Linked DNA regions of Arabidopsis thaliana. The protein of the gene in region 3 interacts with the protein of the main gene of each other region in a pairwise test. Each region holds a gene or a part of one and is shown on either strand. Other genes may lie near its edges. The genes, in order: ETC2, AT1G02040, TIP and AP1.

Evidence for each region.
Region 1: the proteins of TIP (region 3) and ETC2 interact in a two-hybrid assay, tested with the Arabidopsis thaliana proteins (one large-scale study listed by BioGRID).
Region 2: the proteins of TIP (region 3) and AT1G02040 interact in a two-hybrid assay, tested with the Arabidopsis thaliana proteins (one large-scale study listed by BioGRID).
Region 4: the proteins of TIP (region 3) and AP1 interact in a two-hybrid assay, tested with the Arabidopsis thaliana proteins (one large-scale study listed by BioGRID).

Annotation. Positions count from the first base shown.
Region 1 is NC_003071.7:12,958,558-12,965,773, forward strand, and holds ETC2 (Homeodomain-like superfamily protein), read right to left. Parts: upstream 3,606-7,216; 5' UTR 3,359-3,605; coding exon 3,274-3,358; intron 3,171-3,273; coding exon 3,083-3,170; intron 2,546-3,082; coding exon 2,380-2,545; 3' UTR 2,290-2,379; downstream 1-2,289. Other genes in the region: KIS (tubulin folding cofactor A (KIESEL)), read left to right, coding at 1,255-1,407, 1,539-1,625, 1,894-1,995; TCL2 (Homeodomain-like superfamily protein), read right to left, coding at 5,949-6,090, 6,641-6,728, 6,839-6,911. UniProt on the Arabidopsis thaliana protein: MYB-type transcription factor involved in epidermal cell fate specification. Acts as a negative regulator of trichome development, by mediating lateral inhibition.
Region 2 is NC_003070.9:355,495-362,742, forward strand, and holds AT1G02040 (C2H2-type zinc finger family protein), read right to left. Parts: upstream 3,585-7,248; coding exon 2,610-3,584; 3' UTR 2,412-2,609; downstream 1-2,411. Other genes in the region: AT1G02030 (C2H2-like zinc finger protein), read right to left, coding at 1-694; LAP6 (Chalcone and stilbene synthase family protein), read right to left, coding at 3,670-4,655, 4,746-4,947; AT1G02060 (Tetratricopeptide repeat (TPR)-like superfamily protein), read right to left, coding at 5,424-7,248.
Region 3 is NC_003076.8:8,413,766-8,422,353, forward strand, and holds TIP (TCV-interacting protein), read right to left. Parts: upstream 5,312-8,588; 5' UTR 4,959-5,311; coding exon 4,781-4,958; intron 4,589-4,780; coding exon 4,308-4,588; intron 4,216-4,307; coding exon 3,958-4,215; intron 3,873-3,957; coding exon 3,414-3,872; intron 3,335-3,413; coding exon 3,155-3,334; 3' UTR 2,610-3,154; downstream 1-2,609. Other genes in the region: AT5G24600 (TRP-like ion channel protein (Protein of unknown function, DUF599)), read right to left, coding at 8,025-8,588.
Region 4 is NC_003070.9:25,979,644-25,989,776, reverse strand, and holds AP1 (K-box region and MADS-box transcription factor family protein), read left to right. Parts: upstream 1-3,427; 5' UTR 3,428-3,674; coding exon 3,675-3,859; intron 3,860-4,839; exon of another isoform or gene 4,840-5,025; intron 5,026-5,201; coding exon 5,202-5,280; intron 5,281-5,380; coding exon 5,381-5,445; intron 5,446-5,538; coding exon 5,539-5,638; intron 5,639-5,869; coding exon 5,870-5,911; intron 5,912-5,997; coding exon 5,998-6,039; intron 6,040-6,518; coding exon 6,519-6,673; intron 6,674-6,841; coding exon of another isoform or gene 6,842-6,878; exon of another isoform or gene 6,879-7,098; coding exon 7,099-7,201; 3' UTR 7,202-7,483; downstream 7,484-10,133. Other genes in the region: AT1G69100 (Eukaryotic aspartyl protease family protein), read right to left, coding at 8,341-8,434, 8,514-8,590, 8,676-8,804, 8,892-9,391, 9,475-9,802. UniProt on the Arabidopsis thaliana protein: Transcription factor that promotes early floral meristem identity in synergy with LEAFY. Is required subsequently for the transition of an inflorescence meristem into a floral meristem. Is indispensable for normal development of sepals and petals in flowers.

The DNA.
Region 1 (7,216 bases), on a different chromosome or scaffold from region 3:
CGAACTTTTTTCTATCTTGATCACCTAGCTAACTTGACAAATTAGTTGTTCGTCTAAAACTACACAAACATTCAAAGTTCGTTTTAAATTCAATATATTTAAAAATAACAGTTAAAGTTTTATTAAATGGCATTCCAAATATTGATTCCTTCTAGAAAATTTGTGTGGTTTTAAATTGTGAAATTTGGATCTAGAAAAAATAGCAAGTGTGGTTTCTTGTGACCTATGGTTGTTAGTGTAGTTGTATACCATTTTTTAAAGTTACATTGTAATTTGTAAACCATTTTTGTGTGGTTGACAAAAAAAAAACCTATGACAAAATTGCTCCGTTTTTATTTTCAATAACAAATTATAATGTAAATTAATATGTATCATAGTGTTTTTAATAAAAATATTTAAAATTAGGATTGATTGTTCTGAAAAAAATAACGCAACTAATACTTTGTTAGCAAATACTAACGTTTACGTACCAAAAAAGCATTATGTAAATCCATTCATCCATCATTGTATACTTGACTTTCTACATTATTCTTTTGTTGTATCAAATTTAAAATTAATGAATGAACTTGACATAATAAAACACAAAATATATACTTAAATTGTACGATATAAAAGTTTGATTTACATATTTTATATCTATAAAAAAGGGTAAATAAATGAAATAAAACTTTTTTTTTTTTTTTTGTCAAAGAAATGAAATAAAACTCAAATTACATTTTTATGTCGTAATGCGAGCACACAAGTGAGTGCATATCCAGTATTAAGTTTTTTTTTTAATAATTCAGAATTGAAAGCAAAGGAAAAAGAAGAAATCGAAATCGGAAACTGTATATTGTTGTTCTTCGATTCCTCCTCGCTCTACGCCGCGTCCTCTCTCTCAAATTCATCGGAAGCAACCTTCTTCTCCCATCATCGCCTGGTTCGTTTCTAAACCCTACTTCTTCTATTTCACAGTATATCTTCCTTTAATTTTCAATCGAATCTAGCTTTGTGTCGATCTCAATGTAGATCGGAATCAAGTAAAAGAAATCGATGAATTCCAAAATGTTCCCGATCTATTGCAATGCACGAATCGTAGAATTATCACCTACATTAGTCTTGATCTAATCGCCCTATTTCAATTTCAAATTCGACATCGAAGTTTAAAGGAGATCGCAAAACCTAGTTATAGAATCGTTGCGTTTGAGTTGTTTCGCTGGTGATGTAGAAACCCTAATTTTGGTTGTCCTGTGTTTGGTACTTGCTCAGAATCCAATGGCAACGATAAGGAACTTGAAGATAAAAACATCAACATGTAAAAGGATTGTGAAAGAGCTTCACTCTTATGAGAAAGAAGTTGAGAGAGAAGCGGCTAAGACTGCTGATATGAAGGACAAAGGTGCTGATCCCTACGACCTTAAACAACAGGTACAGATTTCATTGTTTATCTCTCTGTATTCGAAGATTCGGAGCCCGTCTTTGTTCGTCAGAATCTAGAAATGCTGTGTTGTGCTGTGTTTAGACTTGGTTTTTCCTAATCTGTGTATGTGGTGATGCAGGAAAATGTGTTGGGTGAGTCTAGGATGATGATTCCGGATTGCCACAAACGTCTCGAGTCTGCATTGGCTGACCTCAAGTCCACTTTGGTAAACTACATTTTCCATTGTTATTGCTTGCTAAGCGTCGGTCTAGCTTTATGTATTAGTTTATAAGAAACGCTGAGCGGTGATTTGAAGTTTAAGAGCAGTAGTACATTATCAAACTATAACTTTTATATGTATCTATAGCGATTGGATTAATCCCCTGCATGAAACCATCTTAGTCTCTCTTTGAGGAAAAATGATGAATAAGGACACAGAGGAAACTGTGAATTCGTACTCTGTCTTTTGTCTCTAATGAAAACTGAATTTGCAGGCGGAATTGGAAGAGACGGATGAGAAGGAAGGTCCAGAGATCGAAGATGCAAAGAAGACAGTCGCGGATGTGGAGAAGCAGTTTCCCACTGAAGATGCCTGATTTAGCCAGCGATGAGTGTTAAATCTGTATTCTGAGAATGGTTAATCATCTGTAAGAATCTTTATATCTAAGGTTGCTTGTCGACTGTATACACTAAAAATATCTTTCTTTAACATTTTGGTGATTGTTCTTTCATTCAATATCTTTGAAATGGCACACTTGCTATAATGTGTTGTAAGCTGCAACTTAACGATTGATAATTGATATAACTTTGACAACCATGATTGTAAACTAAGTGAAGATTAAGAGCACGGATTTAGAAAAGGTGATCTTATTCTAATTTGTTTTGCGAAGAGATTCAACAATTTCTGAACCATTTATATGATGAGAAGACATTCAAGATTTGTTCTACTTTTATGATTGAAAGCTTTTATTTTGATTTCTTTACAATTTTAGATTTTCTTGGAGATTAAGAGGAGAAGTAGAAAAAAAGGGAGAATTATTAAGACGTCGTCGTTTGTGAGAAAAATAGTCAGAGTTTCTCATAATCCAGTATCTCTCAATCTCATTTGCCTTTCTTCCTACGACTCTTCCTGCTATTAAATCCCACCTGACAATCAATATTCAAGCATATAATGTGTTTTTGAATTATAGACGAGCACAAAATTCTGAAAAAACATTTATCAAAATTCAGGAGTCAACATATATAATGCAGAAATGAAATTTAAAATGTATATATATAAAGACAATAATATTCAAGAGCCAATATATTATTCAATCCTTTCACTGTTTTTAAAATCATCACACTTTAAGAAAAGAAGAAATTTTAGTTTCTGTTAATTATACATTTTATCAGTTTATCAACAACATAAAACTTTTTTTGAAATTATACAAGTAAAATACTCATGTCATTGCTTAAATATTGGCATGTCATTTTTCTCGAAACACGTTCGAAAGTCTAAACTACTCTAGAATCATGTTTACCATAACATAACACTTTATCAGCTTTGATTTGTTACTCTCGCCATGTGAATTTTTTTTAAATTATAAAATACTAGTTTTTTTTTTTTTTTTTTTAATTTTATAAAATACTAGTTGTTTTTAAAATATGTTGAATCGGACATGACAGAAGAAGAGAATTTGTTACCTATTACCGACAAGTCTGTACATTCGAGAGATGAGATCTTCTTCTTGTTCGGTCATACTGATAAACTCCCATTCGATGCTACTCACTTCTGCATTTTTGTTTCGTTTTATCCAAACAAAAATTAAATGAGAAGATAATTTAACGCTGACGAGTTAGGAGGATGAGTGTAGAGTAATGAATTGAAGAGAGACCTTCAGAGTCATATCGGGATCGAGTGAACTTAGTTTGCCTAAGACTGGGACCGCGACGAAGACGAAGACGGTTGGTATTATCCATAACTACTGGAAAATAGAAGAATATTAGATAAATTTACAGAGAAACTGAAAATGTAGAGTTTGGAGAATGCAAGATATAGAAAAGATGTGAGGGAAAAAAATAGTTATATAAAAAGAGAGAGAGAGAGATAGGTGATTTATTTTTTATTGGAATTTCTACGTATATATTCCTAAATTTATAATTCACATTTTTGTTTTTATATATCCCGATCGAATACGTCAAAACATAATTTCGTGATACGTTCGATTTGTTTTTTACTATTCCAAAAAGTTCATAATGCTCACAATAAATTTTGATCAGATTTTGTTTCTGACCTATAACAGAACATTTTAACAGTCACTAAAATGGCGTGCTAGTTTTATTTTTTTGCCTAGTAACGTATTAAAATCGAGTGAAAAACATCACATGCAAATACACTTCTCAATAAATATTATGAACACGTAATCCTACAAGTTCTAATTTAAAATCACAGTTTTTCTTTTTATATTTTAGAAATTTTTACGGACGGAGATGGCTGTGGAATGTGGATGTACATAATCTATAATTTTATTTTACAGTTCTCCAATAACATTAGGTGAAATTTTTTCCCCGAAATTTTCGACTTCGTGAAAATTGGACAAAAAAAGTCCATAAACCGTTAATTTCGTGTTGTGATATAGATTTGTGGGTCGTAAATAATACTAGCAAAATCCAACAAAACTTTTGTTTTCTTGTGCTTTTTTCTCTTTAGATTTTTTTGTGTGTGTCTAATTTTACATATGCATGCCCTACAGATAATTCCTATTTATGCATCTACAGAACTCAATTATCGTCTCAGTGATAATAAATGCAGTAACTGTAAGAAACGGACGTATCAATTTCTTTTCCTGACAGATTGAAAGTTGTCTTAGAGAAATCGGTACTTATATAATGAGCATATCATTTTCTCAGCGTGAAATCAGAATGAACCATTTATGATTTTACCCACTATATATTAAAGAAGTAGGTTAGGAGAAAATTGATCCTACGTGGTACGTATTAGCTAAGACCAATTCAAAAATATGAAATTCCTCTAATTTATCATTATGTGATCATAATACTGGATATATATAAATTTATCGACAAGCATTCGTTAACAAAAGGAAAGTTATCGACAACATTCAGTATAACAAATTTTCAGTCATGGACTAGAACGACTTCATTGAAACATGCTTTCGGATTGCAGCTGTTGTCTGGTCACTTCGACTAAACTTGTAAAAGCTGTCGAGACAAAATCATACATTTGAAGTATCCCATATGGCTATGTACGTATATATACAAATTTTAAAACCAGATCAGTAATTAATGCATACGAGCTCAGGGCTGGTCCTGAGAGTATTGGGCACATACGAGCTTCTAAGACGGCTGATATGACGGACAAAGGAGTTCACCTGTAATGACCCGCTCTCATTATAAAGATTTTATGTCGTGATCATTATTAAGGTTTTGAAAGTTATTAATATATATACACAAATGATGGTTCTCATGTGAAGAATGGTTCTAAGTAAGAAAGGACAAGAAATTATATTTGCCTAAAAGTGTTTAAAGATCAGGAAGCTTGGTATACACTGGAATTATAGGATCTGATTGGACTAAAAAAGGAAACAGGGCTTAATGGCCCAATATGGTGAGCAAAATCTAAAACTCCTATATTATGAGTCCTGAGCTCTCACTATCTTGAGAATCAGATAAGTTTGAGGGTCAAGATGACTAAGAGATGGAGAGATGCCAAGCATTATATCTGAGGGCTCGATGGTTAAGATAGTGAAATGATGGATGGTTGAGATAGCTAAGTGGTTACGAACAATAGTGCATACGAACATGTGCATGAAATTGAATGTATATGATATGTGAATGTGAGCATGATTGTATGAACGATTTAGGTGTCTTAACTCTTAAGCATGAGATTATGTGATTTGATAGTATTGATTGAGAGTGGTTTGTTAATTATGGTGATAGCATGTGGGTGGAATTAACCTTAAGTAACTCATGCATTCTTTTAGGGATCCCCATACTTTTATGATGCACGTAAGGAGTTAGGAGTCTTATATTAGCTTATACAACTCCTTACTTGCATGTTAGTTAAAACATTTTCCATCGTCAGAACTCTTTCTTAACCGTAAATTAACTCTTAAACACAAATGAATTGCAAGTGGAATTATAATTTAAATGGCGGAGGAAAGGAAGGGCCAGAAGTTAATTAAAGACAAGAATAGAGGTAGCTCGAGAAGATGAATGATTATACCATCTGAGTGTAAGGTGTGTGTGAGTGGTCCTTCATCTTTGTCGGAATGGTAAACGCTAAATTTCACGATAATTTATGACACTAGGAATTTTATTAATCTTCTTTCTTTGCTATCTACTAACTTCAAAATATCCTCGTTTAATCATTATTTTTTCCTATCAATATTTTTGACGGAGTTACAAAATGTATAGTTGGAACAAGACGAGTGGCACAACTTGTAGAATTGACAATAACTTAGACAACCATTGATGAGAAGAATAAATATCGATCGAAGTTTTGTTCTACTCAACAACTTAAAGCTTTTATCTTGTCCATAATAACATAAAATTAAGGAGGAGAAATAGAGAAACGGTAAAATTTGTGGACTCGGCGTCGTTTGTGGGAACAATGATCACAGTTTCTCATAATCCAATATCTTTCTATGTCCTTTGCCTCTCGTCCTACCACTCTTCCTGCTATTAAATCCCACCTAGTATTATTCAGTTCATGGCCAAAATCTTTTTAATTAGCTATTTCATTATGAATGTTTGCATATGTTATAAAAAACATTATTTAAATTTGATAACTATATTTTCTATAGTGAATTGAATTAATTAATAGAGAGAAAAGTAAATCTTGGTTTTAAAATATGTTCTAATTATAAAATATATAAGAATTTTCAAAAAAGTAACATCAAGAGTATACATGATTAATACTCAAAATTCGTACCAACGTTTATGAGCTAGCCAAGCATATTTGGAAGTGATATATGCTAATATAAAAGAGTTATCCCACAGTTATCTCGAGCATTATCATATAAGTAAAATAATTATGTCGTAAGATTTTTTTTTTTTTTTTGAAAGTTGTTATATAGTATAATGCTGTTAAAGGGTTGAAAAAAGTACATGAGAGAATCTAAAGATAGCTAAGATACAAAAAAGACATGAGTTACTTCATGTAAGATTGTATATAGAGAAAAAAAGAAGATATAAAATTTAATATGGAACGACATATCTATACACAGAAGAAGAAGATGTTACCTATCACCAACAAGTCTGTGCATTCGAAAGATGAGATCTTCTTCTTGTTCCGTCATATTGATAAACTCCCATTTCACACTATTTACCTCTGCATTTTAGTTAGTTATATTTCAATCAAATATGAATATCAATGAAAATTGGAGGACGTAGCTAAGTTAAATGGATGATTATAATTTATAAACTAAATTAAAGAGAAACCTGCGGTATCCCCTAGAGTGAACTTGGATTGCTTACGACTGCGAAGGTGACGAAGACGGTTGGTGTTATCCATTGGTATTTGAAAGTGAAAGAGGACAAATAATATACAACTGATGATTTTGGAGTTGGAGAATGCAATGAAAAAAAAGTAGATGTGAGGTAGAGAAAACTATATAGAAAACTTGTGACGAAGAGTAAAGAGAGAGATATAGAAAAGGAGGTCCCAAGCTACCGTAATGAGGACTACTGGACCAGTAGACTTGCTCTTGATACAACTGGATAAAATATCTGAATATCCACCATATAATTGTAAATTGGAGTAATATTTATCAAATACTAAACACTAAAATTTATAACTATGGATACATGATTTGCTCT
Region 2 (7,248 bases), on a different chromosome or scaffold from region 3:
CGTGAGATCTTTTGTGACCTCCGAGAGCTTGACCAGATGTGAAGACTTTGGCACAGATTGGACATTCATGGTGACTACTAGTACTCTTCTTCTTCTTCTTCTTCAACTCATCTGAGCCTAATTGATCTGTTTCTGCTATCTTCTTCTTGTGGCTTGCTCTGTGTCCCCCTAACGCCTGATACGACTTAAACACTTTCTCGCAAGTCTCGCACTCGAACCACTTATTCCTCTTCTTCTTCCATCTCTCTTCATCACTTTCCTCTTCCTCCTTCTCCCACTTGTCTCTCGACAGCAACATGAGACTCAAGGCCACGTCTTCTTCCGTTGTTGCAGCGTCCGACACCGAACTCATCGGTTCCTGCTCCGTACACGACTCACTGAGTTCTTGAACCCCGATCTTGATATCTGCTGCTCTTGCGGTTTCACTTTTCCCTTCTTCGTTGGATTGTTGATGACGTAATGATGAGATGGATCTCCGGTTAAGTCTGGATCGTTTGCGGGAGGGCTTCTTGGACGACTCGGTTTCACTCTCTCTGTCCTGAAGAACAAACCCTGGATCAGCCATGGAAGACGAATATGACTCGGGCTGACTGGGGAGAGGGTGAATGAGCATGTGAGACCTCATGTGACCTCCCAAAGCCCTTCCATTAGCGAAGCTCTTCCAACATAACTTGCACTTATGCCTCTCTTCCATTTCCTCAATTTACCAAAACAGAGCAGAAATAGAAGAAAAAGGAGAGAGAGAGAGAGGGAGAATATAAGAAGAAGAAGAAGAAGAAGTCGGAGTAGGTTACAAGCACTCTTCCACCAACACTTAAGCTAATATACGAAGTCCCAACAACAAGTTAATGTTTTCTTTTTAAGGAAAAGAATTAATGGGATACTTAAGAATATCAACGAAAGCAGTTTACTTTCTTTTTTAATATCAGAAACGGCTAAATAAAAGACCTGTCTGTTGTGTAAACATAAATACAAATAAGCCTCTAAATATATATAATTATCAGTTATGTTTTTCTTATTTTATTGACAGATTGAGCCAAAAAAAAAGAAAAAAAAAAGAGTATTGAATGATGAAGTGAAGAGCCGTTGATCAAACATGTAACATGCGATCTCACACCTTTATTCCTCCACGCTGACTTTTTTTCTCCTCTAATTTTTCAAATACACTCTTCTACTAGCCCAAAAATACTAGTATGTAAATAGTAAATACTAGTATGTAACTGAAAATTTCAATACTTTGTTGATTAGAAAAGAGTTTGTGGATGAGGGTATTCATTTTGGTAAAGTTGCAAACAAAAACCGTTGAGGTTTTGTTGTAACGACTAAACAACACTAGCACTGGCCCCTCTATTTCTAACTTTACCAAATTTTAATGATTCTGTGACAAATACACCAACTCTCCTTAAATCATAGGTTGACACGTGTGACTAAACTGCTGACTTCCCGCATCGTATAGTTAGTGCTATCTTTGACTCTCATACTCACACGCCCTTTTGGTGTTGACTCACCTCTTGTCATTTATTTGGATGAAATTTCAATATAAGAATCTAAATTTCATTACTCTACAAATTTCTACTAACAAAAATATTTTCCCAAGCATGTCTAAATAATTTTAACCTTATCTCGTTGAGACGTTATTACCTCATACTAGACCAAAATTTCCTTGTATCAATAGCGTGCAACTCTTGTACGTGTCTATATGTGTCAATTGTTGTTAAAGTACATGTCCTCAAGTTAATTGATTAAAGATCTTTTGAGTGGCCCAAAGAGTCATATACTTTGCTTGAGCTTTTCTCAAAGAGAAATTGGAGGATATCAGTTGACATTAATCAAATTCCCCCCGCTAATCCTAGTTTTCAGCTGATGGTTGGTGGGCTTCCTAAAGTCAAAAGTTCATAACTTGTAATGGCAACCACTCATTAATAACATATATGCGAGATAAAAATGACTCTTTTCTTGTAATCGTATTGAGAGAAATGACCCTTTCCTTGCAATCGGTGCTTAATTAAGAACCACCAAAATTATCAATTCCGTTGAGGCGTTGACTCATGTTCATGTGTTTTCAGTGTAGTAAGAGCCTTTTGATTATTAACATGATTAAAATATATATGGGCATATCACGAGAGTTATTTGATACGTGATATTCGTTTATTTATTTGATATTTTTCTTCTTTGTGATTTCTTAATTTCGAATTTACAATTTCTTTTCTGGAAAACTTCAAAATTATATCTCCTTCTTGATGGCTTAACAAGTAAATTATATCACTCTGTAAGATTACAAACATGAAATTAAAACATTTGCGCTTATATGAGCAAGGAGCCCTTGGTTATCTTACTTTATTCTCAACGTATATAATAATAAAAAATGATACAATTATCTATCTTGTATATTAACTAGTTGTGAAACTTAATTTCTTACTTATATCTTTGTATATATTGGACTAGAACTCCTTATGGCTCTCTAAATCTGCAGAAGACGCCAAGTGTAATTCATATAAATCCATAAACTCTATATATAAACTCATGCACTTAATTGTATATATGTAAAGAATATAAACGAATGAAAGTTAAAAGAATATAATTAGCAACTTAATTAAATTAGTCAGTCGTCAAGACCAATCACCACTTGCGAGTTTTAACCACGAAGATGAAGTAGCGTTGTGATTATTGCCACCACCATCTCTCTCGATCATCCCTACGCTCATGGCCGTTGGATCGACGGAATATTCTTGGCAAGCTAAGTTGAGATCGAGAGATGGTTGATCTAACGGCTGCGGTCTGCCGACGGAATGATGATGATCGTGGAGCGACGTCATACGAAGATAATTGGAAGGTGTTAGCCAATGGCATCGCTTGTGGCCTCCTAAGGCCTGTCCCGAAGAGAAGACGCGATGGCAGATGGTGCATTCGTGAGCGTTGGATCTCTTTCTTGCGATATGAGCCGTTGATTTGTCTTCCTCATCCTCCTCCTCATCTTCGTCCTCGTCGTTGTCGTCGTCGTCTTCTTTGTATTCCTCTTCCTCTTCCTCTTCTTTATCTTGAGAGGCAAAACAACCCTTCACTTTCTTGTGGCTTGCCCTGTGTCCACCCAATGCCTGATGCGACGTGAACACCTTCTTGCAAGCTTTGCATTGGAAAACCTGGGCGGTTTTTTGCTTTTTGACGGTTTTGCCCTTACCATGTCCATGTTGTTTATGCTGATCACCACCATGCGCATCCCCTGAATTGGACAACAAGACAAGACAGTTGGCAAGCTCTTCGTCTTCGTTTGGAGACAAGTTAAGATGATGATGCTGAGTGGACATCGATCTCTCCCTCTTCCACGGAGGACGACGTGACATGTTGTCCTCATCGTGTTGTCCACGACTGAACATTACGAAATCAATGCATGGTGAGTTCATGGCTCCATGCATGTGTGTGTTCAAAGTGTTTTGGTGTGAATTAAAAAGAAGAAAGCCCTTGTTTTTAGTGGAAGTAACGGGTTTGGTGTCTTCTTGTTCATGTGGTTCCAAGTAGCTAAGCACTTGCTTTAACGACACGTGGTGCAACTTTTGACTTTTTCCAACATTCCTAGTCACATGCATCTATTCTATATAGATGTTGTTTAACAAATAATACTCTCATTTCATGCTTACAATATGTTTATAACCCAAATGTAAATTATAACAATTAGGAAGAGGTGAGGCTGCGGATGAGAAGGCCTTCGAAGGTGATTCCAGGTCCGAAAGCTAAGCCAAGTCCCCACTCTTGTGCTGCGTCACCTTTCTTCTTCAGCTCATCTCTCATATACTCCATCACATACAGTATCGTGTTGCTGCTCACGTTCCCGTAATCCACCAACGCCCTTCTGCTGCTCTCCAGCTTCTCTTTCTCCAGCTTCAGTTTTGTCTCCAGACGGTTCAGAATCGCAGGTCCTCCTGGATGAACAGCCCAGAACATGTCATTGAACTCCATCGACTCATCGCCAGCCTTTCCCATCAGCTTCTTGCAGAACTCTTCTATGTTCTCCTCTATCTTCTGCGGGAGGTCTCGTCCAAGCTTGAAGTTTATGCCTTCCTCAGTCAACCTCCCCTCGATCACGTTCTGTGTCCCCGGCAAGAACTGCTGAACCGCATAGTGCAGCTCCATGAAAGGAGCTTCACACTCTCTCGGGTCAGCTCCGATGATCACAGCAGCTGCACCATCTCCAAACAGAGCAGCTCCAACTAGGTCGTACGGACGCGCTTTGTTTGGTGGCCGAAATCCGAGAATGGTGGTTTCAGAGGTTGTGAGCAGAACACGGCTTCCGGGGTTGTTCTCAGCAATGTCTTTGGCCACACGGAGGCCAGTCACACCTCCGTAGCATCCCAGAAAATACAGCATCACTCTGTTCACGTCATTCCTCAGGCCTAGCTTTGCTGAGAGGTAAAGGTCACCACCGGGTAAACGGATCTCGCTTGAGGAAACGTAGACAATGTGAGTGATGTCTTCCACTGGCCTTCCCCATTCCTTGATGCAACCTAAACTGGCTTCCAATGCCATTTCCACAACCGCCTCGTTTGCAATTTCAAGTCTTTGCTTGATTGTTGGTGAACCCTCTGTTGTTAGCTCAGGGTATTTAGCCAGTATCTCTCGCGTCAACACAGTGTATCGCGTCTTCACGGTTGTCGTTTTGCCTAAACAACAGCACAAAACATTAGAAAGCTTTCAGCATTTCACAAGAGAGCATAGCTGTCTGAAAAAAATATAAAGAGACTGAGGCTTACACAAGTGTTCCAGCTTTTCTTTGATAAACGCGTCATCACATTTGGTGTCTCGTAGAAATCCTTCCACTAGATTCTCCTGAGGAACGACTTGGCTTGGGAAGGCTTTGCCAAGAGCAAGCAGTGTTGCCTTTCCGGCATTTGCGACACGCCTTGTGGATTTGCTGCTTAGCTTCTCAACACCATTCATCCTAGAATTCGACATTTCTTTTCAAGCGCAGAAGGAAAAAACTCAATTAGATATTGGGAAGAAAGATGGTGGATGCAGAATATCAGCAAATGGCAAAGGATTATAAAGGAAGGGTTGAGGGTTTTCTTGGGGAGAGTTTGGTGCTGAAGAGTGAAGATCATGTAAAGAGAGAAACGGTTATTTTATTAGGGTTTGGTGATTCTTTGGCCTGTGTTGGTTAGAAATGCAAAAAACACCATGAAACCTATTTTCCCGGGATAAGTAATATAAGCCTAATCTACTTAGGAAATAGGTACCATGAAGGTGAAAGTTAGGAACAGAGAGTTGCAACGTCCATAGAGACCTGTAACAGACACGATGAATACAAACTTGCTTAATTGCTGAGGGCCAAAAATTTTACAATTGCCAATGGATAATTTTAGACACAGAATTGAAAACGGAACAAAGAGAGAGGATCCTGTTTACCAGAAACCAGATGCACGGTCTATCCTTCATTCTAATACAGAGCAATCATCTGATTCTCTCAATGTAGCCATCCTCTTTGACACAAACTGAAGTTCTTCCCACTTTCCAGCAGCCTCTAAGGCATTCCTCAAAACCACGTGGCAGCTAAGCTGTTGGTGGTTTCCTAGTTCTACTAATTCATTGTACAAACTAAACGCTTCAGAGTGTCTCTTATGCTTACAGAGTCCTTCTATGACCGTGTTGCATGTGTCGATATCTACCATTTGACTTTTTTCCAGACAAAACAGAACAAGTGTATGTGCATCAAGTAGTTTTCTATTCTCGCAGAGGTAACCAAGTAATTCCTCCATCTTAACCAAATACCCGTTATCATAAAGCAACCTAACAATCAGAAATGCCTTCTCTTTCTGTGCACTACTAAAAAGCAATCTGACAACCTGCGTTGAAAGATCAATGTTCTGTCTTATTCGTTTTTCCAACATTAGCGTTACCAAGCAGAAAGACTCGTTAGCAAATTTCCTTTTCGCAAGTTCTGCAAGTACAGAATGGAAAGTGGTTGCAACAGGAAGATAAGAGCTCCTTAGCATCCTTTGTAGGGTATCGTGAGCAAGAAGAGCTTCACCTATCTTCAACAGTCCATCAATCAATAACTCGTAAGTTTCAAGATCAGGTACAAATTCCCGCCTGAGCATTAGAACCAACAGCTCATAAGCAGGCTTGAATTTACCTTCTCTGCAGTGACCCGTTATCAAAGTCTTGTAAGAGGGCGGATCTTGCACTCCTCTTTTCATCAGCTGCCTGAAAACTTTCTCCGCTTGTTTTGTTTTCCCATTGGCACATAAGTATTCAAACATTGGGTTATAAGCTGCAGCGAGAGGCTTGCATTCATCCTTACCTAACAATACTTCCTTCTCAAATAACTCATTGAACAATGTCTCAGCTCTATCAAATTCGTTTCTCATGCACAGAGTACGAATCAAAACACTATAAGAAGCTGAATCAGGATGCAACTTCATATTCAGCATTTCTTGGAACACCTTCATCGCTGCATCCAAATGACCAGCATCGCAGTGGGCTTTGATCAAAATATTAAAAGTGCAGGCATCTGGAGCGAAAGTGGTAAATGCGTCGTTCCCTCCAATCAAGATATCTTTGATCTCATCATATCTGTGAGCCTCAGAGAGCCCCTTGATCAGAGTATTGTAAGTAACAGCATTGGGTTTCAGCCCTCTACTCAGCATGTCATGAAACACAAGCACTGCTTCATCAATTTCCTGCTTCATACAATAGCCTCGCACCAGAGTAGTGTAACTAACAACGTTGGGATGCACATCGGTTGCTTTCTTCAACATTCCACTCAAAACATTATGTGCAATCTTGACCTTGCCGGCTCTGCATAACCCATCGATGATCGTGTTATATGTAACAACGTCAGGATTGCAATGATACAGCTCCATATCCTTAAAAATCCTAAAGGCTTCATCGACCATGGAGTTCTTACAAAACCCATTTATCAATGTATTGAAAGTATAGGAGTCTGGGGTAACCCCGTAGGTACGACGCATTTCGTCGAACAAGTCATGGGCCATTCCAGTTCTGCCACGCTTGAGCAAAATGGAGAGAAGACTGTTGAAGGTAAGAACGGAAGGGGAGATGCCCATCTGCTTCATGGTCTGGAACAGCTTCACTGACTCCTGGAAGAGCCCAGCGTTCCCGTAGCTCCTAATCAAGCTGTTGAAGTAGCGATCCTGGAGCTTGACGCAGCCATTAGACCTTCTCTCGATGGAGAACAAGAAATTGCGAGCCACATTGAGATTGCGAGCTCGACCGAGGAACTCTAACATGAGGAAG
Region 3 (8,588 bases):
TTGGACAAATGAGAGAATAATTTCATTTTGTTTGGCAGTCAAGACTTAAGACAACTCTTGTAGACCAGTAGATGTTTGTTACTCGATTATGCGACTAATGTTAGTTTACGTGATTATGTGAAGTTAATGAATAAATTAGGGGCGTTTTATAGACAACACGTATATCATATATTTCTGGTTGATATCACCATCAATGTGTGTTCTTATCCGTCGTGCCCTATTTGATATATCGCAACTCAGACATTATGACATATTACAACTATCATATAAAGTATAAAACAAATAAGCTCGATAGTTGGAAGAACTATTTAGAAATTAAAGTGAACCTTTAGAGGCATTTACGGTTCGCCACTAAGACAAAATTAGCTATAAGAAAATGATAGATGAAAGTGTTCAGAGAATTCACTCAGATTCTTAATGTACGTAGTTGACCGGTTTATAATCCATGTTTGGTAACTTTCTAGTTAACTATATCTTTTTTACTTTTATAATTTTGTTTTGTTTTTGGAATTATAATCCTTTTTATAGTCTTTGTGAAGTAATCTAATTTTATTTTAAAAACTTATAACAGAAAAAGAGGTAAAAAGGTCGGGTCCATGTTTACATGTGCCCAAACACCTGGAGCTGACTCAGCTTACACAATATGCTGAATGTATACATTTTTGTGCGTATCTATGAGTCCATCTTTTATCCAAATATGATTTAACAAAAAAGTACATTTATTTCCATATTTCTTGGTGAGTTTGGCAATAATTTTTAATAAGTCTTAAAGAGTTACAAAATTTTAAATTTAGTATATCCACTGTATTGCTTATAAGAATGAAAGTATTCGTAAATAACAAAAATCTCATTTTTACTATGTAATTGTTTGGAGTGGATTAGGTAATGAAATTGAAGAATTTTTCAGGCAAATGATTTTTTTTTTGTTACAGAGGTAAATGATATTTTTAGTGTTTGTTATAAAAATATTAAAACGGTACAATAGAAATGTATTTTTTTCATAATAACCTGCAACGAAATTTTTTTTAATGTAAAATGTTGAATATCCGTTTCGAACGAATAAAAGTAACATATAAAACAATTTTTCATACACAACAGCTGAAAAATGAATCACTTGTATTTTACCTTGTGTCCATCTCTAAATTAGTTTATACTTTCTATATTATGCTACAAACTAAAATTGGTCTCCATCGTTTGGTAAAACTGATGATATTATCACTTTACTTGTAGTAAAAAATTCCTCTAAAACTGCGAATTTGGACTTAACTTTTTGGTATACCTGCTATAAAATGAACTTTAAGTAATAATAATTGACATGTAATTTGTATCCGATCGTTTTCACAGTTTGAGTCTCAATGTATAATTTACTTTTGACGCGCACTATCTTTATGGGTTTCAACTATTGTTTTATCCAAATGGACCTGAAAAAATCTCAATGTTGAGACTTGAGTGGTTTGTATAACTCAAAACTCAGCAGATGTTATCGCAGATCAAAAATCAAGACAATAAATAACCTCTGGTTTTTTATAGGTTAATTTTACGTACTAATGGTTTTTGCATTTGTTAAATAAAATTGATTTATGGAAGATTTTTCAGATCGTTCTGGAATTAACATGAAGTTCCTTTTATACCAACCGGCAATATGCGACTTTAATCTGATTCAAAAGTATATCCAAAAAGTCAAAAATACAAAAAGCCATATTGACTAAACCATATAAAAAAATAACTCTATGCCACAACCGAATTAGTTTCTCTGCTAAAATAAGTTTATAGACTCTCTTTTCTTGTCATCCGTTTTTAATAAAACTTAAAAGAAATTTATAGACTTTTGTTTTATGTAATGTGCCATGTTAATGATCAAGCATCGAGTCATTCATATCCACTATTGTATATTTACGCTTTAAAAGTGTGCATCACCTTCTTTGGTCATTATAAATTTATAATCGAAATATTAAATTGATTAAAGAACATGATACGTGAATTCTAAAAATAGTTGAGATAAAGTTAGTTGGTGTTCGGTGCATCGCATGTGGAGACATGAGTCCAACTGCAATGGCGTTAAGATTCGAATGCACATATTTTATGCATTTACGATGTTTTTATATATTGGAAAGAATTGTATTTTCTTTTCTTACTCACACATAATTTTGAGTTTTATTCAAAGTATGATACAACATTGATATATACTACTTATATCAGCTAACACATTTAAAAAGTCTAATAATTGTTTTGGTACTTACGTATTTTGGGTTTTATTCCAAAGCAACACGACAGTAATATTGATACAAACTGCTTCCTATGTCTTATTGTAAGTGTTGTTTAATTTTTTTTACAGATATCAAGAAAACAACTAAATTTTGAAATTTTATTCTTGGTCCATACAATTAAGTAGTAAGGATACAATTATTCTTGTAGAAGCCGGATTTGCCAGAAGAGGACCGGCCATCTTTGCTAACAAAGCCAAAAAGATGTCGGGCAAAAGCCCAAAACTTGGGACGGCAGTTTACCAGAATAATCCGGTCGGCAGAATTCAACAGTTCCTCTCTCTAAAAGATATGAAGGAGAGAAAAGAGAGGTGATCATATTATTTGAACTATTCAAATATGCATTCTTTTGTCCAAAAATTTTGTAATATATTACTGGGCATACTTAATGCCATAAAATACCCAAATGACATGTTTAACAGTCCATACCCTCAATCAAACCGTCCTATCATACTAAACATGTTTAATGATATACGAAATAAACACACCTCTAATAAATATCTCTACCCGGTCGGTTCGTACTAACATGTTTGACACCGTTTTCATTACGGTGCTACCATTCGAACTCGTAGTTTGTTTCTGATTGTACAAGGCTACTAAAAATGTCAAAAACGCAATCTCAAGACACATGTGGTCAGGAATAAAAAAATTTCCAAACATTACCATCTGAATATTATGAGTCGTCGTACATGTTAACTACAAGTCTACTACACTCCTAAACCGACCATGGTTAAGCTTAAGCCGACAAAAACAACAACAATAACAACAGATGCAGAACCAGGCCAAAACCCCTGTTATACACACAAATCCGCGCTCTCTCCACCCGTAAAAACCACTTTCTTTATTCTTACTATATGAATTGATCGGAACAAACATCACATTCAGCGGATTTATGCGACTAGACTGCAGACCGACATCACACACACAACCGCTACCACACCGACTCTGAAAAGCCCTCTGTATGAACATCCCATGGCTGCAATTTTCTTGAATATGAAACTAGTCCTGCTCTTTGATCTTGTGAAATTTCCACATCCTTTCGTCATAGTTTCCGTTGTTGTGTCCTTAACCTATATACATTTTATCGCATAAATATAAGGATCATAAATTGTAATACATGAGAAGGTATGAAAACAAACTTCTTCTCACCTCTTTCTTGATAAATTGAAGTTGTGTACTGTCAGTTTCTGACTTGTGGCTGTTAAGGTTAACCTGAAGACGCAGCCTTCTTGAGGCATCGCCCTGCATTACAAACTGCTCAGCACAACCCGGGGCTTGTGCTCGTCGAGCTCTAATCTTAATTCCTCTCTTAGATTCATCATTGATCTTGTTGCATGAGCTAAGATTCTGTGGCTCATATGGGATCTGTTCTGGCTCATAGGGAATGTCAAGAAAAGAATCCAAGAACTTGGACATATATTCATCCGCATCATTTGTACCGTACTGAGTCTGAATGTAATCCTCATTGTGGTTTTTGAACAATTCACTAGACTCAGATTGTAAGCCATTGAAAGAGGAACCGAGCTCAGATTGCACCTGAGAGTGCAACGGAGAGAACAGCTTCGGGGAATCAAACTCCATAAACGAGAGCCAATCGATATCGTCAAGCTGTTGAGTAAAATGAAGTTTGTAAGTTTACAAAGCGGTTGTACCGCCTCCTGTAATGAAAAGAATGTATTTTGTTCATCCTTACCCCGGTGGTTGTAACCTCAGGGACAGAGTATCCACTACGACATTCGCTGGGGATTACAAGAGAAGACTCTGCGACGTCACAAGGATTAGTCTCTTCTGTTTTAGGGAAAACAGGAGATACCTCAGACATTTCAACCTCGTCCACAACAGTTGGAGACGATACCGCTGGTTCAACTTCACATGACTTTGACTCTTCTGGTTCAGCAGCTCCGTTCACAATATCTTGCTTCTTAAACAACTTACAAACAACAAACGGATTCTGCAACCAAAAACAATCAAACAAACACAATCAGAAACACAAAAGACCTACACACACAAGTTAATGCCATCATTTGCCAAGTTGGTTTTTACCTGGCCAGACTTTGTTCCATCAAGATCCTTCTCAGTAGCACGATACTCATGCATAATCCAACAAGTTCGTGTCCCTTTAGGAGCACGACCTGTATAAAACACTAGAGTCCTCTTAACACCTATAATCTTAGTCTTTCCTGATTTGATCTTACGGTCTTTTCCCGTCGCCTTCCAGTATCCAGCCACAGTAGCTCTATTCATTCGACTTCCACTCGGATATTTCCGGTCCAAAGGACAAAAGAAGAGCCACTCTGAGTCTGTTGTCTTCACCACAGAAAAATCTACACCACAAATACTAAAGTATAAATCTTTACTCAAATTCACTAAGTCCACTACCTAAGCTAAGAAGTTATTGATCATATTGTTCCAAATTCAAACATGCATAAACCGGAATTGAAGCCTGGGAATTGCTAAACCGAGACTAAAGAGCTAAAGATGAATCAACGAATTGATTTGATGAAGAAAGGAATTACCAGGCAAATCCCAAGGCTCCCATTTGCAGATATCGATCTCACGAATTACTCTAACGTCGTTATCGTGACCGTTGATCTTGAGCCGGAGATAGTACCGGACTAACTCTTCGTCCGTTGGACTAAATCTGAACCCAACCGGTAGTGAAGCGAGCGATAGTACTTCCATGTCTTCTTTCATAGTTGCGTGAGACTTTGAGAATTCGAGAGGAAAAGAAAAAATCACAAATTCGACTTCAAGGTGATATCTAAAATGAATTTGGATCAAAGATGCGATTCAAAGGTATATAGAAGAAAACTAAGAAAAAACCAGATTCCAGAATTTGATGAAGTACGAAAAGAAAAAACCCTAAAATTTGACACGATTTGGTAAAGTGGAGAAGAAGGAGATGTGACACGATTTGGTCAGACAAGAGAGATATCAAAGACAAAGAGATGAAAAAGTGGCGCGTGGATAGGCGTACCACTGTTTCCCAGAAAGTCATAAAACACAAAACCACGTTCGTTACGCGTAAAAGGCAAAACAGAATGTAAATACCTATTTTACCCCTGAAGTATTGCAGTAAAATAGTTACGGAAATAGGGGTTATATGAGTCAAAAGGTGAGGATGTCTGAACGAGAGATGTCACCTAGCGAATCATATATTGACACGTTGATGCTATAAAGGAAGCTTCGTGATAGTTGTACGGAAGTTAAAGAAGAATTAAATAAACTTAATTGGTATCATATTGATTTACCAATATGAAACAGTTTACACAACTGGCCAGCCCATCTTACTAATAGTGTTTGTTGTTAAAGCCCAATAGATGAGAACCCAATTCAACCATTTTTTTTTCTTGGTCGTGTGAAGTCTGAATCAATTTATTTAAACCAAATAATGTAAATCAAATAGGTTTAAACTTTAAAACGTTTGATATCGAAGTCCGTTGGTACTCAAAACTAAACCTCAAAAACAGAGAAGAAAGTAGCGAGCGAAAAGGAAGATCTTATTTATCTAAACTTAACGTTCGGCCGTTTACAAGATATGTTTACAGCCAAGCCTCGTTTTAAGAGATACAACAAGAATAAAACTACACAAGTCAATTGTCGAGCTTATGTCTTTGAATCCGAATGAGAATGTTCTTGTACTATTCTCGTCCGACTTCAGGTGTCCTTTTCTGGCATTCCTCTGTCAATATTTATAGTACTTCAATGAAAGTACACAGTACCATTTTCTGAGCGATATGAAACTTCTATGGCGGCTGATCCTTTCCAGAAAATGGGCCTCATCTCGCAATGGGCTGCGGCTTTCTCAGGGGGGCTGGTCTTCATCATTCTTAACTGAGGTTTTCAATGACTCTTTGTTTGGGCCTCCGAATGTTAAATGGGGCGAAGCCCATATCCAACAAAGTTTATCTAAGTCATTGCTTTTTGTTTTGTTTTTGGGTTTAGACCTCTGCGTTTCTAGTTTGAGGATAGTCTCTTATAGTGTTTGATTAGTTGGAATGTAATCTTTTACAACCATAATTGTTTTTGTGAAGACCAAATTGTTGTGAATTAGTTTTAGAAAAAAAAAAAATCTTGTGACCGTAAATCTTATATTTCTACAACCTAAAACCATATGTTGTTATAAGTTCTATAAGTTATATTTTTAATTTAATCTCTCTTTTATTTTAATTTTATTTCCTCATGATCATTTTTTATGTGTTGCTTATATAATGTACACTAGGCACTAGATGGATATATACTAATAGTATAAATACCATGTATAGTTTTGTTTGTTAATGTATACTTATGTATAAATTTTGAACAACATTTGAACAAAAAATTTATATGTATATATTCTTTTCAACTAATATGTAGTTATTATCCGACTAACATATAAACTATTTTACATGTTTATATAGATTCCATTTAACCTATATGTGCATCACAAAATTTGTGTTGTTGTTTATTATATAGTTTGGTTAACTATAATATTTTATAAAATATTTACTAATCATATTTTAAGATACGACTAATAAATTTACTTCTAAGACTTTATATCCCTAATATCTACACGTATAACAATAAAATACACGGTTGCATTTTACACGCTGACGGTCAAAATTTTACAGCGAATAATTTACGGTGACATGCCAACCAATCACTTAGTTACTAAAGACGTTTACTTTCTATCTCAAAGTTCAGTTTCTGGAAATATTTTATTTTCCGTTGTTTAAAATCATAAATGTATGTAGCTTTTAAAATAGTTTTTGGCTTTCGAATTTTAGTTTGTAATTTTTTTTTTTGGTGTAAATGTTAGTTGTTTGAAAAATTTGAATGGTAATTAGATGTGGATTTTAGTTTAGTTTTAATTTATTTGAAAAACAAAGAAAAAATATTAAAACTTGAATATGTGGAAATCTCTCTTTTTATTTTTATTTTATTTAGAAAATTATGTATTTCCTCATGATCCTACTTAGTGGCTATGTTCTATCTGATCAAAATTTAAGAAGTCACCAAAACTACAAGTTGTTAAATTACTAAATATCTCATGATGATCCGACCCTACCCAATTGCTCTTTTCATTTTATTATTTTGTTACACTACCAATATTAAACATATCGAATCAAGATTGTGCGAAACACAAATTGTCCCACGGTATATCGTGGGTTAAATCCTATATCAACGTTAGTTAAAAAAATATAGAAAACCACCCACTATATATATAGTGTTTTAAAAAAAGATTAAAAATAAAAGCTCCAAAAATAAATACATATTTAGTTTTACTATTATGGATTCTTAACATTTGTCCTAACTACAAAAGGGTTAAAGAGATCTCAAACAATTAATGTGGTTGACAGAAAAAATAAGAAAAATGTTACCTCCGAATACCATATATTATAAACGGGGAAAGAAAAAGCTATAGAAGTAGAATTTATGAACATTTTTGATCCAAGTCCATATTTGTAATTTGTTCTAAATTCTTCGTAACTTTTAAAGTAAAGGGTTGAAAATAAACATGGAATATATATGATCCATATATACCATATGCATATGCAAAATTACCAAAAAAATATATATATCTTTGACATCAGTAAAATTGACAATTTTACGGTTAAATGACAACAAATTTCTTCACTTGGTTACAGAGTGACACTTTGACACGGTTCAACTACCATTGAACCTGAATCAATACAACTTACAAGATTTGTATGTTCCATTGAACAAAACTCTCTTCAATATATCTGAACCCCTAACCATTATCAAATTAAAAAAAAACTACTAAACATTCTGAGCTAAGCTTCTAATCTCGGGCTCCTCCGCGTCTGCGGCTCCAACGCTACATTTCATCGAGTCAAACGTTAAATCAAGGAAGTACAACGAACAAACAAGAACGCAACAAGTTATGAACATTGGGATGGGACCAAAGATCCATAGGAATAAAGGCGAGGAGAAGTAGAACGCTCGTAGTCCTAACGACCAGAAGTAACTCCCACGGTTAACCGTTGCAGCCACATAATCTTGGTTTATCATAAGACTACCATTACCACGACCACCTGAAGAAACAGCCATGAGCTGTTTAAAGGGGACATTGATAAGGATGCTTGCATGGCTGTAATAACGAATTGATTGGACATTGAGGAGAAACGCGACTAGGAAACACACGAGGATTGCGAAGAACTTGAGCGAGAAGGCTCGGTCGCTTTTGTCTCCAAACACAAACCAGACTGATCGCTCTCCTGTAGCGCTAGTCATTAGTACCGCGATTAGTGAACATAACATTATTGCGGTTGATGCTAATAGAGTTGATGCCATTATGTTGTTCCTTAGCGTTTGAACCGCTAA
Region 4 (10,133 bases), on a different chromosome or scaffold from region 3:
CCTTCGCGTTATTAGCACGACGCTCTAACCAACTGAGCTAATAGGCCTTTGATGAAACCAATGATACAACTAAGATTTATTTAACAGACAAAGCTTGGAACCAAAGCTTAATGGGCCTTGAAATACAATTTGGGATTTTGATCAAAAGTATTCAAAGCCTACTTACTCCAAAACAAAGCTCACGGACCTTGGATCTGAAGTTATGAACAATAACATATTTGGCAAAACAAAGAAAAAAGAAACAACAATACTAACATATTTTGGTAAAAGAACATTGAGAAGTCTCAAAAATTAACTTCTTCTTATTTTGTTTCCTAATAAGACCGTTTGCTTCATTTCAAGTTCTTAGGAAATAATTTCATGTAACGTGTATGTAGATATGTTTATGTACAGATAAAGAGAGATCTGAAAATGATATATAGAGCTTTTGTGGTGATAAGTGCAACAAGCAGGATATATATATCGAACGTGGTGGTTAGAAGATAGCGTCAAAATAGATGCTAGCTGCTGCGTATACATCATATTCATATCATATGTACTTCTCTTTTGTGATTTCTCATGTGATTGAACATACTACATAAATCTTGATAGATTTATAAAAATGCAACAAATTGTTGTTTATATAAGAAAAATAAAACACTGATATGATATTTCATTAGTTATTATCAAATTTGCAATATAATGTTTAACATCCAAGATTTGTTTTACATAATCGTTACGGTTACTAAAGTTTAATTTATGATGTTTTAAAACAAATTGAGACTAAATTTCTAAAAGAAACATATACGTACATGTGTGTAGCTGCGTATATATATAGAATGGTGGGGCTAAAAGCTAATGATGTGTACATTAATTGGACATTTGATGTGGCTGGATTGGACCCAACTTGCTCTTTGATAGAGACCTAACTAAGACAATTTTGCTCTTCATTCATTTCTCCCGTATACATAATTGAATTAACTGTACATAATGTTTCACAACAAGCGATCTAGCTATATATTTCAAAATAACAGAGACTGATATTTTAATCTGGTCTTCTAAGCTCTAACGTCAAATTAAAAAAAAAATCCGATCTTCTAATTAATTAGAAGAAATCAATTATAGAACCTCTCTCTTTAATTTCATTTATTTAAAACTGCTTGGAAATTTAATTATTCACTAAAGACTCACTATTCTCCTTAATTTATGATAATTTGTAGATCATATGTTCAGTTTTTATTTATTTGCCATTCGAATGTTGAGTTTTAATTAAACCAATATGTTAATATTCGAATTAAAAAAACTTACCTATAATTCACTTATTTAAAAACATAAAATAATAATAATTGCATCACCGTGATACAAAGCAACCTCACAAGTCACAACTCTCGTGACTACAAAGATCACTCATTAAACAAACCTTCCTGCCTTCTTTTTTTCTACTTGGGCACCTCGACCGATCGAAGACTATTCTTGGGATCTGCTTCAAAAACGACTATATGTTCTAAATCCACTTCGTATGATGACGAACATTTGGTTTACTACTGAAGATAGAGATTACGTCCTTCTAATTAGAAGTAATTAATTATTTTAGTATTTGGAAGCTAATGGTGGAGATGTAACCGTATCTTAGTGGATCGAGATATTGTATATAAAATATGTATGCTACATCGAATAATAAACTGAAAGAGAGTAAAAAGGGATATTTAATGGGAAGAAAAGAAGGGTGGAGATGTAACAAAGGCGAAGATAATGGATATTCTTGGGATGTTGTCTTCAAGGCCACGAGCTTAGATTCTTTTAGTTTTGCTCAATTTGTTAAGTTTCTACTTTTCCTTTTGTTGCTTACTACTTTTGCTCATGATCTCCATATACATATCATACATATATATAGTATACTATCTTTAGACTGATTTCTCTATACACTATCTTTTAACTTATGTATCGTTTCAAAACTCAGGACGTACATGTTTAAATTTGGTTATATAACCACGACCATTTCAAGTATATATGTCATACCATACCAGATTTAATATAACTTCTATGAAGAAAATACATAAAGTTGGATTAAAATGCAAGTGACATCTTTTTAGCATAGGTTCATTTGGCATAGAAGAAATATATAACTAAAAATGAACTTTAACTTAAATAGATTTTACTATATTACAATTTTTTCTTTTTACATGGTCTAATTTATTTTTCTAAAATTAGTATAATTGTTGTTTTGATGAAACAATAATACCGTAAGCAATAGTTGCTAAAAGATGTCCAAATATTTATAAATTACAAAGTAAATCAAATAAGGAAGAAGACACGTGGAAAACACCAAATAAGAGAAGAAATGGAAAAAACAGAAAGAAATTTTTTAACAAGAAAAATCAATTAGTCCTCAAACCTGAGATATTTAAAGTAATCAACTAAAACAGGAACACTTGACTAACAAAGAAATTTGAAACGTGGTCCAACTTTCACTTAATTATATTGTTTTCTCTAAGGCTTATGCAATATATGCCTTAAGCAAATGCCGAATCTGTTTTTTTTTTTTTTGTTATTGGATATTGACTGAAAATAAGGGGTTTTTTCACACTTGAAGATCTCAAAAGAGAAAACTATTACAACGGAAATTCATTGTAAAAGAAGTGATTAAGCAAATTGAGCAAAGGTTTTTATGTGGTTTATTTCATTATATGATTGACATCAAATTGTATATATATGGTTGTTTTATTTAACAATATATATGGATATAACGTACAAACTAAATATGTTTGATTGACGAAAAAAAATATATGTATGTTTGATTAACAACATAGCACATATTCAACTGATTTTTGTCCTGATCATCTACAACTTAATAAGAACACACAACATTGAACAAATCTTTGACAAAATACTATTTTTGGGTTTGAAATTTTGAATACTTACAATTATTCTTCTCGATCTTCCTCTCTTTCCTTAAATCCTGCGTACAAATCCGTCGACGCAATACATTACACAGTTGTCAATTGGTTCTCAGCTCTACCAAAAACATCTATTGCCAAAAGAAAGGTCTATTTGTACTTCACTGTTACAGCTGAGAACATTAAATATAATAAGCAAATTTGATAAAACAAAGGGTTCTCACCTTATTCCAAAAGAATAGTGTAAAATAGGGTAATAGAGAAATGTTAATAAAAGGAAATTAAAAATAGATATTTTGGTTGGTTCAGATTTTGTTTCGTAGATCTACAGGGAAATCTCCGCCGTCAATGCAAAGCGAAGGTGACACTTGGGGAAGGACCAGTGGTCCGTACAATGTTACTTACCCATTTCTCTTCACGAGACGTCGATAATCAAATTGTTTATTTTCATATTTTTAAGTCCGCAGTTTTATTAAAAAATCATGGACCCGACATTAGTACGAGATATACCAATGAGAAGTCGACACGCAAATCCTAAAGAAACCACTGTGGTTTTTGCAAACAAGAGAAACCAGCTTTAGCTTTTCCCTAAAACCACTCTTACCCAAATCTCTCCATAAATAAAGATCCCGAGACTCAAACACAAGTCTTTTTATAAAGGAAAGAAAGAAAAACTTTCCTAATTGGTTCATACCAAAGTCTGAGCTCTTCTTTATATCTCTCTTGTAGTTTCTTATTGGGGGTCTTTGTTTTGTTTGGTTCTTTTAGAGTAAGAAGTTTCTTAAAAAAGGATCAAAAATGGGAAGGGGTAGGGTTCAATTGAAGAGGATAGAGAACAAGATCAATAGACAAGTGACATTCTCGAAAAGAAGAGCTGGTCTTTTGAAGAAAGCTCATGAGATCTCTGTTCTCTGTGATGCTGAAGTTGCTCTTGTTGTCTTCTCCCATAAGGGAAAACTCTTCGAATACTCCACTGATTCTTGGTAACTTCAACTAATTCTTTACTTTTAAAAAAATCTTTTAATCTGCTACTTTATATAGTTTTTTCCCCCTTAAGTTGACTACTTGATTTGCCCTAATTATTCACTACTGCTTTTGTTTATATATTTTCTAGGGCTTCCATTTTTGGATTTTTTGATTAGCCAGAAAAATGTTTAATACAAATTTGTATAATTTAAAAATCAAAACTTTAGGGCCGTAGTGAAGTGAACCCTAGAACACACTAATTATACCATAGTAATTACCTTGATATATTGTGCAATATTTATCAGCATCATATCTTCAAACTCAAGAGCATATAGAAGGGTGTATGTTTAATCTTTGAACTAGGGTTTTGATCCCTAACTCATAATGAATTCTTTTGTTCTCCAATAGCCATGTCTTTCGAATTTGCAGATCTAAGCTCTAATTGATGCCATAGTAAGAAAATAAGATCTGTAGTTTTCACTCGCTCACTGAGTTCGAGTTTTAAATGAAGTGTCGTTTCTTTTTTCATATATAAGTTGCAACTGGATTATAATTAAAAAATATTATGGGACGAGAAAATAAATTAAAATAGATATAGATAATAATGTCAAATTGAGAATTTTTTATTAGAAAGAATATTTAACTTACGAGTTGTTTTTTTTCAGCTGTAAAAGAATATCTAATTTGTTCTCACGACTGTGTCTTCATGTTTTGCAAATCTAAGCAAAGAAAATGTTTAAACTCGGATCTTAAGATTATGAACTCGTAATATAAAACACTATATAGTATTAAATTTGAACTAGTGTTGCTTCTTTTTCTATTTGACTTTAGAAATTAAAACTGAAACAAAGATGTCAAATCTGAGTAGGGAGTCTTTGACCTCTGGGGATCCATAAAAAGAATTAACTCCATCCTAAAATCGGCTTCTTACCGATGGTCAAACTTAGCTCCAACAAGCAACAGCTGTTCTTCTTTTTTTTTTTTTCTTTTTTTTTTTAAGCATTGTCCTTGTTCTGAAAAAAAATAAGATTGGTAAATTGGCAAGATTATAATAATTTATTATAATGTGTCGCATCTAAGAAGATTTTCTGTACCTAATTGTAGCAAAATTAAAGAAACCGCAGTTAGAACTCGAAGCTAAGAGCATAGGGTCTATGATTCATACTGTTTTGTTATTATAAAGGTATCATAGAGATCGGTACTTGATTTGTTATAGGAAATCTTGGTTTAATTGCATAAAACCATCATTAGATTTATCCTAAAATGTGATGATATTTTGGTTACATCTCCATATTATTTATATAATAAAATGATAATTGGTTGATGATAAAGCTAACCCTAATTCTGTGAAATGATCAGTATGGAGAAGATACTTGAACGCTATGAGAGGTACTCTTACGCCGAAAGACAGCTTATTGCACCTGAGTCCGACGTCAATGTATTTCAATAAATATTTCTCCTTTTAATCCACATATATATTATATCAATCTATTTGTAGTATTGATGAATTTTATTTGTATAAAACTTCTGGTACACAGACAAACTGGTCGATGGAGTATAACAGGCTTAAGGCTAAGATTGAGCTTTTGGAGAGAAACCAGAGGTACACATTTACACTCATCACATTTCTATCTAGGAAATCGATCGGGTTCCATTTTAAAGTAAGTTAAAATTCATTGATGCTATTGAAATTCAGGCATTATCTTGGGGAAGACTTGCAAGCAATGAGCCCTAAAGAGCTTCAGAATCTGGAGCAGCAGCTTGACACTGCTCTTAAGCACATCCGCACTAGAAAAGTATTGCCTTCTGCTATTTCGTTGAACATATCTATATAACTTAAACGTTTACAAGTGTTATTATAATGTGAACATTGAAATACATATGTGTATGTATCAATATATATATCAGTAATCAATATCAATTTGATATGTCTATAGGTTGGTTCGAATGTATGAGTTATGTTGTGTATTTTAAGACTCATATTACTTAAAGTAATGGGTTGTTAATGTTGATGTGTGTGTATGCAGAACCAACTTATGTACGAGTCCATCAATGAGCTCCAAAAAAAGGTATGTAAAACCCCTATCAAATGTATGTCTTATAGAGAAACGTATAGGAAAGCTAATTAACAATCGTGCCGTTTCGGAAATGACAGGAGAAGGCCATACAGGAGCAAAACAGCATGCTTTCTAAACAGGTAACACATGTCATCATTTCTCTTTCATCAACATGTTGTCCATTGCATTACTGTTACCTTCCACTGTTCTGCTCCACACTTCCAGCCAAGCTATACCTACGATATCTTCATATCTCCACTTAACTTCGGCACCATTAAATAAAAATAGAAAATCTTTGCAAATTGTTTGAAATAGCATAGATGTTGTCTATTGATTGATATAATCACCAGCCTGTACGTAGATATGGTTTGTCCGTTTAGTTTTAAGGTTGTCTCTCGGATTGAAAATATTTGAAACTTTGAAATGTTGTCCCATCATTCTACTTAGCTCATATCTATGTATATGAATATAGACACTACTCCTAATTATAAAAATGTTATAATAGTTCATTGCATGAGTGCAACTGTGAAAATAACTATTTGTAACCATTGCATATATATAGTTTCTTCACTTTGAAAATTGATGATGATAATATGGTTTGAAATAAATTTGCTGGCAGATCAAGGAGAGGGAAAAAATTCTTAGGGCTCAACAGGAGCAGTGGGATCAGCAGAACCAAGGCCACAATATGCCTCCCCCTCTGCCACCGCAGCAGCACCAAATCCAGCATCCTTACATGCTCTCTCATCAGCCATCTCCTTTTCTCAACATGGGGTAACAAAAAATTACTAATCAGTCTTAATTTAAAGCACATATGTTATGCAAGCTAGTTACGTTAGGTGTTGTAATTTCATTGAAGTTATAGCTGTTAGTGATGGTTACATGATGTCATGATTTTGAAACTAGAAAACTTTATTTTAAAACATTATTTTATTAACGTAGGTTAATGCAATGGTCGCCAAACGAACAAACTTATTAGTGTGGAAAATGTACATGGAATGGTTGCGAAAAGCCTAAGTCGACTTTTTGTTGTTGTTGGTCTATGTGTTTAAGTACAATTTTAGTTTGTTAGATAAATGAAATTAATATATCTTTGACATTTCACAATGGACTGATATTTGATTTTCCTTTGTTGTACGGTGAAACATATGATTACATATGCACTTTCATATATATCCTATGTATGATTGTGAATGCAGTGGTCTGTATCAAGAAGATGATCCTATGGCAATGAGGAGGAATGATCTCGAACTGACTCTTGAACCCGTTTACAACTGCAACCTTGGCTGCTTCGCCGCATGAAGCATTTCCATATATATATTTGTAATCGTCAACAATAAAAACAGTTTGCCACATACATATAAATAGTGGCTAGGCTCTTTTCATCCAATTAATATATTTTGGCAAATGTTCGATGTTCTTATATCATCATATATAAATTAGCAGGCTCCTTTCTTCTTTTGTAATTTGATAAGTTTATTTGCTTCAATATGGAGCAAAATTGTAATATATTTGAAGGTCAGAGAGAATGAACGTGAACTTAATAGATCGGACCTTTTTTTTTTTTTGTTGCATTAAGTTAGGAGTGGCAAAATTTCTTATTATTTCAAGTTTACAACAAGCGAACTTGAGTGGTTGGGCCGTATTAATCGGAATAGAACCCAATTAGAATCAAGGAAGGATGTTGGCCTATAAAGGCCCAGAATTTGCTTCTAATTAGATAAGATAGGCAATAATAACAGTGCCTCCGAATGGATGAGGATCTGTAATGTAACACCCTGGTAGTCTCTCTGATACATTTGTTTGATTAGTGATCGAATAATTAGTGTGTATTGACTTGTTTCATGGAGCTAAGGACACGAGACTTACAGTAAAGGGACCAGTGAAAATGCCCACTAAGGTTCTTAAGATATATCACCACCAGAAAGGCACGTTGTGGTAAGCGTAACTCTCACATTATCTTCTCTTCATCTACATTCAGTAAAATGTTGCTAAACTCAAGAAAAGGCACGTTGTGGTAAGCGTAACTCTCACATTATCTTCTCTTCGTTGTATTCCTGCTAATTTTTTTAGAAAACAATTTCTGTATTAAACATTTTGGTAATTATATTGTTTGGTCTTCATGTTTCAGTTACTACAACTTTATATTTTTTGGTTCTTGAAGAAGTTTCCTTCTTTGGATAGAGGATTGTTGAAGAAGTCAACAGAGCAGAATTAAATGCATAATGAAGAGAATAGGAAAGCAAAGCATAATTTTGATTTTTGAGATAGTCAGATATATGAGTTATTAATTAATTCGTTTTGAGTATAGATAGAAATGACAGATATATAATTCCTTTTTATTAAGAAGTCACGCTTACAGAATAACAATATTGGTTCACATATATATTGTCATAAAATTTAGATAAAACTTGTTTAGTGTACTCTTTTTACTAATTTTCTTATATTGCTTCAGCAAAGCCGATTCTTGGGGTTTTAACATCTCCATAATCAAACACCGTATGGAACTTCGTCATGAAAGCCTCACCCAAGACCCTACATTTAAATCCAATGGTTATTTTCTTAACATATGGGTTAGAGAAAATTTTATTACAACAACTTTAGAGCCTATTACCAGTCTTTACGACGATTTTTAGACTTCACAATACGAAGTCTGCATCTTTTTTTGGGATTTGTCTTCACCTCAACGTACTGAAAAAAAAAAAACATAAAAGAAAAAAAGGTCAAGAAAAAGGCTTTAAAAAACAACTCAAATGATAGAAAAACCTGATCGTACATCATGTTTAGTGAGGCGTAGATGTTTTCCTCCAATTTCGAAGTAGATATCCGGCAAAGCAGGAAACTGCTCGCATCTAATTATTACTTTGGTTGCTCCAATTTCTTTATAGATTTTACCGACAGCTTCCTAAACAGAATGAAACAAAACCAAATATTTTTTACCAACTTATGATACAAACTAAACTATATGCTCACTAAAACTTAATTCTCTTACATCCGGGCCAAAAATGTCAGTCGATCCAGAGTCAACCATTGCTGTGCATTCTACATCATCACAAAAGTTGATCGCTGGTTTACCATTAATGTAAATTTTGGACATTTTGATCTTCCAGCGGTCGTCGCTTAGTTTCATCGGTACATAAACATGTTCTCCCTTGAACTGCTTCGGGTCAAACCCACCAAACATGATCTGGCCACCATTTGGATCTTCTCCTCCATCTCCCTTGTGTGGCCTCAAATATAAAGAGAAAATAGGTTTAGTTATCAACTTTTGTTTCACCATGTTTTCCCAAACCGTGACAGATCCTTGCGCACGTGAAGATTTGATGCCCAACCCAATAACTCCATCAAATTTAACACTTCTGAAGTAAGTATCTGGGTTACGTGCCAAAAATAAATCTTGACTTTTTATTACAACCCCGCCTACGTTAACATTGTCTTGTGCAAGAATACCGACGACACTTCCTGTCTCATATGCAATATTTACTTCTCCCCCTAGAAAATGCGAGGAAGTTTTAATGAAAATATACATTAAAAGAGTTTTTTTTTAAAAAAGTTAAAAGGAAAAATGTTAGTACCTTTCATCAAACGGCATGTCTTGGATGCATCCTTATCAAACTTAGGGTGTTTATGATCGGTTTCCTCAGGCCATTCCTTAGAAGGAACCCACAGATCAGTACTGCCGGTGTCAAAAACAACGTTGAATTTTTGTGGCGGACTACCCACAGAAATCTCACCGTAAAAGACAACTCCATCAAAGTTTTTTAAACCACCAAAAGAAGTACCCCCGACATTCAGAGTATGCCTTTTCAGCGAGATACTCACAGTGTCATTTGAGCCATGGCACAGCTGAATTACGAGAAACAACAACAAAATTTGCATCTTTGTGGTTGTGGAGAAACTCATGATCGATGATAGAAAATTATTGAAAAGTGTCAAGAGGAGATATGGAAGACTATGATATGTTTCTTTGTGTACATATAAATATATAATTTCCTCTTAAATTAGCAGTCTGTACGTATTAAATACCATGCTAAAATAGAAACATAATGGTTCATGCATGCATATAAACTTAGCTAAAATGTTCGCCATAAATCAAAAGTAGACCGTAGACATTTTGAAAGAAATTTTCTAATTGGAAATACTATTAAATACCATGGTAGAATAGAAACAGAGTGGTTCATCATGCATCTTAACTTTAGCTAAAATAAATGTTCGATCAATATGCATCACATGA